Kluyveromyces lactis: one gene and its partner. The protein of the gene in region 2 interacts with the protein of the main gene of each other region in a pairwise test. Links are inferred from orthologs where the notes say so. Each region holds a gene or a part of one and is shown on either strand. Other genes may lie near its edges. The genes, in order: OPY2 and MSB2.

What was found.
Region 1: the proteins of MSB2 (region 2) and OPY2 interact in binary tests that used the Saccharomyces cerevisiae proteins (3 or more experiments, as listed by UniProt). The link is inferred for Kluyveromyces lactis from reciprocal best matches to the Saccharomyces cerevisiae genes MSB2 and OPY2.

What each region holds. Positions count from the first base shown.
Region 1 is NC_006038.1:796,192-799,511, reverse strand, and holds OPY2 (Opy2p), read right to left. Parts: upstream 1,745-3,320; coding exon 503-1,744; downstream 1-502. Other genes in the region: KLLA0_B09108g (uncharacterized protein), read left to right, coding at 3,181-3,320.
Region 2 is NC_006039.1:1,596,425-1,600,360, forward strand, and holds the start of MSB2 (Msb2p), read right to left. Parts: upstream 2,623-3,936; coding exon 1-2,622. Other genes in the region: SNU71 (Snu71p), read right to left, coding at 3,544-3,936. UniProt on the Saccharomyces cerevisiae protein: Plasma membrane signaling mucin that promotes activation of the MAPK for the filamentous growth pathway. Partially redundant with the SHO1 osmosensing branch for the activation of STE11.

The DNA of each region.
Region 1 (3,320 bases), on a different chromosome or scaffold from region 2:
TAAGCTGATGTGATGTTTGGGTGAGCAATTGTGATTTAAGAGTTAATCGAAGATCGGACGGGAAGCATATAGGTAGGGTAGCCTAGGGTAGCCCAGGGTAGCATAGCTTAGATATATAAAAACACTGTGGATAGGTAGTATTTTCGAAGTTGGACCGATAATTCTTGGTTCGTTGGCAAATATCGTTTGGAAATCATGTTGGCAGTGAAAATTGCGTATTAAGAGACGTTCTTTTAAGTAGTCAGATTGTGACATGATCGAGTGACATATACATGCAGGGTTCAGTAGATCCTACATTCTATTTGGAAACTTATAGAGCATCGTTGATTTATGGTATATTGCGGGGCTTGTTGGGGGAAAAGGCTCGCATATATACCGAAGGACGCAGGTGCTCCTGACAAGAATTAGCCCGATATAACAGGTCTTATTACATACTGTATCTAAAATTGTACAACTGGTGTGTTACCAAAGATTAGTGGGGAAGGGAAAGTGGTAGTCATGTTTAATGGTGATTACTTGCCATTTCCACGTCCAAGATGAATGATCCCTCGCTGTTTGAGTCAGATGATGAATGCACGGTGGTATGGAACGGATCACGTGAGTCCGAATTGGAGGAGTCCATACTATTTCTATAGTGTCGTATATCTCCTTGTTGCCCTTGTCCTTGTTCTTCTTCCTGTTGCTGTTGAGATTCATTGCCGTGTCCTGCATGACCAATTGAGTTGTCTTGAACATTCGTCTCTCTGAAATGTGATGGATTATCGGTATTGCCCGTTTCGTTAGCCTCTGTTTCGATGTCTTCTTCAGCTTCTTGATCTACTCCATGATTCGCATTTTCATCTTCATCTTCCTCAGCAGTTTCATCGATTTGAACCAATTTCGGTCTAGCTCGGATTGCAGTAGTCATATTATTCGTGGCACCCGCACCATTATTATTATTCCCTGCAAATGAACCGCTTTCTTCCTCGTTCAAATCTTGTAAGTTCTGTTGGAGCTCGTCGTCGTCATCTTCATCACCGCCAAGAATACTGGACCCCAATGTAATATGTGACTTTCGATCTGAATCCTGGTAAAATCTTCTTGAACCTCTTCCTTGGCCTTTCCTCAAATTCTTCTTCGTTAGATTCGTGGTGACACCTGGGATATATGCTACAGGGATGATATTTGATGCGGTACTGGTCTGAACGGTGGCAGCGCTACTTCTATTTCTCTTGTTCCTTTCTCTGACGCGTGATGACGAAGAGCCAACACGAAGCATGCCTGGATGAAGCGGTGATGATCCGTTTGGATCAAGACTCGTACCTTTTTCCATATATTCGGGATCCTGGGGCAATGCAGACCGTTTTCTTTTATAATATCTGTAATACAAGAAGCCCAACACCACGACTATGACTACGAATGCGACACCACCGACGACACCACCAACAATAGGTCCGACCTTATTGCTGGAAGAGGACGACGAAGAAGACGCTCCGCTAGAAATAGCAGCCGCAGACGATGATGATGATGCACTACTACTGCTTGAAGATGCCTTCTTCTGACAATAGGTTCTTGGGCATTGTGTGCACGTTAATGATGTTGTGACACAGTACTCATCATCATCACATTCCGGGCACGTTACATTGTTATCACAAGTGACACAACCATCTTGCAACGAAGTTCCGGAGCTTGCAGTACTAGTGCTAGAACTTGAAGCTGTGCTTGACACACTGCTGCTTACAGTACTGGATACGCTTTCCGACATTTTTCAAGCCGGTACTAGATCGCCAAAACTATATTTCAGTATCACTTCTATGGTGAATAGCTCTGCTGCTGAAAGAACGCGATGAGCAGAATGAATATAAAGTCAACAGACAATATTAAACCGGGAATGGCCCTGTTTATCTTGACAATAGAGAAAGAGCTAGCGGTAAGGGTGGATGGTGGAAAGACCTTGTGGTTCCTTGTCAGATACAACAGATTTTGGAAGTAGTTCAGTATGATATCTGTATGGAATCTTTGATTTTTCGCTGTCTATGGAAGAACCAAAAAAAAAAACCGAAAATACAAAACTCGAAGAGAAGACTGAAAGTGAACCAAAAGTTTTTAACTGATTGACTAATGGATTTATTGAAACTGCTCTTTATTCTATATTGTAATGTATGCCTGTAATTGGGCCAACTCCAGAATTTATAAAACGACTGATTTTTTTTTTTTGGAATAGAATACACAGGCCTCTGAGGCAAGAAACAACCCCATTCAGATTCTTTTTAAACTATTATATTTTTGGATCGCGTCAGCGTTTCAACGTGCGGAATTCTAAATTCTTTGAACGTTGTTTTACATTGCCCAAGAAAAATACTTCACCGCTTCCGTAGTACGTGAAATTCCTCATTTGTAAAGGCCTCTCACTTACCCAATACCACCTTCATTGCAATTAGCACATACCGTTCACTGGAAAATCCAGCTAGCTATCATATTCATTGCACGTTCTGGCTGAATACATGGCTCTTGGTACTTCCCGTTCTAAGCTAGCCAGTCGTCTTTCCTTTTCCTTTTCCTTTTGGCGATTTTCCAAAAGAAAAGAGTGAGCGGATCAGATCCTGAATGTTTTCAAATTCTCGAGCTTGGATTCCTGAATTCTGTGTCACGTGTGTATAAACTTTTCAGTTTTGTTTGAAAGTAACTCGGTGCAACCGGGTAATACGTTATGCAACTCAGATTATCTGTCACTTGTGCCTCCCCTCCCCTTCAACTTAAAAGGTTACAAGCGTACACAGAGTTAACACAGAAATAGTCAACGGGTTCACGATACAGTCCCAATACATATCTGTACCTGATCGCGGCTGCGGGACATTAAAGTACTTTCTGTCATTCTAATTTAAACGAAGAAATCAATTGATATCTTGAGCTAATTCATGTTTTTGTGATACTATATAAGTATAAAGGGTATCATCTTCCTGGATTCAATCTTGAACCGTAGATTAATAACTTATAAGAGACTAAATCCCGCTAGTTAGATGTTTTATGTGCCGTATTCGCTTGCATTCTTTAATATGAGCCATTCTGTTCCACGTTAAGCACAGAAAAATAAAAAATTCCAAAGTTTAACTGAAAGATGAATCAGTTGATCTTAAGCAAGTAAAAACGTCGGACGGCTCAACCAATCAACCGAGCAAATACCTCAAGGACAAATAAACTATGAAAATTGATAGTACACCATTGAAAGAAGGTCAATTACCATTCGATAAAGAAGTGGTTAGAAAAGCCGCTTTGGACTTGACCGAATCTGTAGAATCCTGGAAGAAGGGGAAGCTATACAAGTATACGCTAGATCCAGA
Region 2 (3,936 bases):
GACAGAAGCAGCATCTTCAGGGTAATCGCTGTAAGTGTTATAATCAATCCAGTTATTAATCTTAGCACTTGGGCTGATTGACACCTGGTCGTCGTTCATAACGTTACCTTTTTCAACAACTGGATTAAAATCGAACGAAGATTCGTAATCATAACTGTCGTAAGAATGTTGGTCATCTAGATTTGGATTAGCTTGAAGTTGCTTCTTCTTGTTTCTAATTCTCACTGCAAGTAAGCAGATGCAAACCAAGGCTATCAAGAAACCACCGACAATGGAACCAACCAGAATTCCGATGGTCTTCCCGTTCGTACCTGTAGAAGATTTGCTTGAACTACTAGAGGAATAGTTGCTTGATCCTGGGTTGTAGTTTTGATCGTCTAAGGAACCCAAGTTAATTGCACTGCCGCTGCTCGACTTCTCTTTAGTCGAGTCAGATCCGCCAGAGCCAGAGTCAGAGTCAGAGTTAGAGCTAGAATCAGAGTCAGAGTCAGATCCAGAGTCAGAATCTGACGAAATTAAGGAACCAGAATCTGAACTGACAAGACCAGTTAGTGGAATAGAGGCATCAATGTACGATGAAAGCTGTTTTAATGCTGTTACATCGTTATTGTAAATGACACTGGAAGAGTTCAAAATCTGCGCTTGAAGAGTCGAGACAGAATCTTCTGGGAAATATACTTTTGCAACAGTGACAAGGTAATCTAAACTTGTAACCTTTAATGGAACTAACTCCAAAACTGAAGTATTATCGAATTTTTGGGCCCCATTGAAGGGATAGTTCAAAACCTTTGGCAAAAATTCAAAAATTTGAGCGTTAGAAACGGGATTGTTGACAGTAAATGGATAATTCAACTCCTTCTTGAATCCAACGGTAATTAGCGTATATCCTGCAGGTTGCACAATTTCAGTGGCAGCTGTAATAGCTTGAGGCAATGTTTCAGTAGCGATCTTTGAAGATGTGGTAGATGTAGATTGAGTACCAGATGTTTCGAATTCTGCTACCATGGTAGTAGGCAACCAAACTTGTTGTGTTGTGGACACTGGCTGCTCTGTAGTAGTGGAAGGTAGTGAAACAACTGGTTCAACGGTAGAAACTACGGAAGTGCTTCCAACCTGGCTTGTACTTGATGATGGTTCTTCAATTGGTTTGGTAACAATGCTTGGAAGTGATGTAGTAGCACTTGTTGGAGCCAATGTCTCAGTATCTGTTGATGGAGCAGATGTACTAACCACTGTTTCTGATGAGACAACATCTTGAGATGGAGGTAACACTGATGAAGAGATTTGAATGTCATCAGTAGCCCATGGTTCAGAAGTCGATAAAGTTTCAATTGGCAATGATGATGTTTCCTCCGTGAGGATAGTACTGGTTGAAGGCTCTGGAATAGATTCTGAGGTACTGCTTTCTGGTAGAGGTTCCAAACTAGTAGTGCTTAATGGAATTTCAGTGGTAGTTGGTTCCACGATGTCGGCACTTGTAGTAGAAGGAGTTGGTTCTTCCGTAGTGGTAGGAATTTCGGTCGATTCTGTAGTGGAGAGAGAAATTCTTGTTGATTCATCAGTGGTGGTAATAGGAACTTCTGTTGATTCTGTAGTGGAGAAATCATTATCAGTGGACTCAGTAGTGGATATAGGAACTTCTGTTGATTTTGAGGTAGGGAAGTAAATTCCAGTTGATTCATCAGTAGTCGAAGAAACATCTGTGGACCGCGAAGTGGGGAATTGAATACCAGTGGATTCATCGGTAGTTGATGATGGGATAGATTCGTCAGATGCTGTAGAAGAAGTAACAGGAGGGAAAGTGAAAGTTGTAACGAAATATCCACCATCACTTGAGGACGTTTCATCAGAAGTGGAATATTCAGTTGAAGAAGTAACAGGAGGGAAAGTGAAAGTTGTAACGAAATATCCACCATCACTTGAGGACGTTTCATCAGAAGTAATTTGTTCAGTTGAAGAAGGCTCAATTGATGATGTTACAACAGAAAAAGTGGATGGTTCAGTAGAAGAGGATTCCACGGACGAGAGGACTGATGAAGAAGAAACCTGAGAAGCAGAATCGGTGATGTAGGAAGCTGTATCACTACTGCTTTCAGCAGAACCTGTTTCAGTAACAGTTGTCGTAACAAAAGAATCTTCAGCTGAAGAAGTCCCAAAAGAGGTAGTCTCAGAAGAAAGAGCGGAGGAACCGGATAGAGTAGTTACACTAGCAGAATCGCTTGCAGTGCTCGAGGAGGAAGCCGAGTATTCAGAAGATGGGATACCATTTCCACTGGTAGAACGTGAGATCGCAGAAGAGGTGATCGATGAAGGAGTCAACACAGAAGTGGTACCTGAAGTACTACTCGAATCATCATCGCCATTACCATTTCTCGTACGACTCTTAGAGTGCGTGCTTGAAGAAAGCGAGAACGTGGATGGTTCTGCCACTGTCAATGAATCGTAATTCAAAGTAGTTTTCCAACTGCTCTCAGTGCTGGAACTGGTCTCGGTACTCTGAATGGATCTAGTAGAGTTATCAGAACGAGAAGTCTGGAAAAAATCCAGGAATCCTTGGGCAGATACTAAAAAGTTGCCCAAGAATATAACGGTTAACAAAAACCTTAAATTGGAAAATTGCATCGTGTTAAGCGAATGAAATCAAATGAAAAAAGAATGTAAAATAGTTGGAAAAGTAATCAAAGTTTTGCCGAAGGCCTTAGTTCAAACCTGAGATTCTCAAAGTTTTCTAATGACAAACCGGCAATCCGTAATAATAAGTAATAATTTTATATCACCAAACAATGGGACGGGGAAAAAAAAAACAGAGATCGATAGTACACTTCAACCTGCCTGAAGCTCTTGTCACGTTCAAAGTATAAGCTCACTAAACAAACGATGGCAGTTTCCTAAAGACTGAGGATTGGAAGGTAATTTGGATCAGTAGGTCAGTTCTGATAATCTTTCTTTATTAAAAACCTCTAATAGATCCTTCTTATCAAATGTATAAAAAACTTATAAGTAATTTGAGATGAATCAATAAATGAATGAATGGAGGAACACAAAGAAAAGAAAGATGTATACACCAAAATATTACCACTGGTAACGTTCTTTGTTGAAAAGTTTGACCCTGACGATAAATCTCGAATCTAAAAACTTATTATCTTTTGCCTAAAGCAACCCGAACGAAAACAGAAACTAAATTCCACCATTATCAGGTGTGTACATAAGTTACAAGTAATAGAATCTCTATGTTTGTTCCTTTGTTTATCTCATCCTGCCAATTCTTCCTGTAACCGTTCTGGATCTGGTAAAAAATTGGTGAAGTTGAGAATGTATCGCTATATACGATATACAAAACGCGAATCAATATGAAACACGATTACCCGGACCTCTAGTAACCTCATGTTACCGCCCGATCTGGCTGGAACACTCGAATCGGGCGAAAAAATTTCGTGACAGTCACGTGAGACGTAACCGGGTAATAGAATCTCATTATTAGACATGTGACACACATACCTACATATACATATATATGTATATTCACATGTATGGTATATTCCACTACTGTTCCATCGCTTCCCATATACGGCTCACTAGGACAGGGCTATCTTCGTCGAACGTCTCTGTAAGCTCAGTCTCGAGTGCCTGTTTCGATTGATGTTCTTCGATGTTTTCAAAGATATATGAGACTAAGTCGGGCTCGTAAACTCCCAAGTATTCTTTGACGAGTTCTTCCACTACGCCGCTTTCCCTTAGTAGATTCAACTTCTGTTGGAACGCATCGGTTTCAGGAGTCTCTTCCTCTTCTATCTCATTCTTTGTCTTTCCAATGGATTTCTTTAGTGCTAATTTAATCTTTGGTGCAGCCGTTGTCGCATCTGCGTCCGATACCAATTTTGTCTCTGTCTCTGTCTCTGGCTCTAGCTCTAGCTCTAGTTCTGTCTCTGGCTCTGT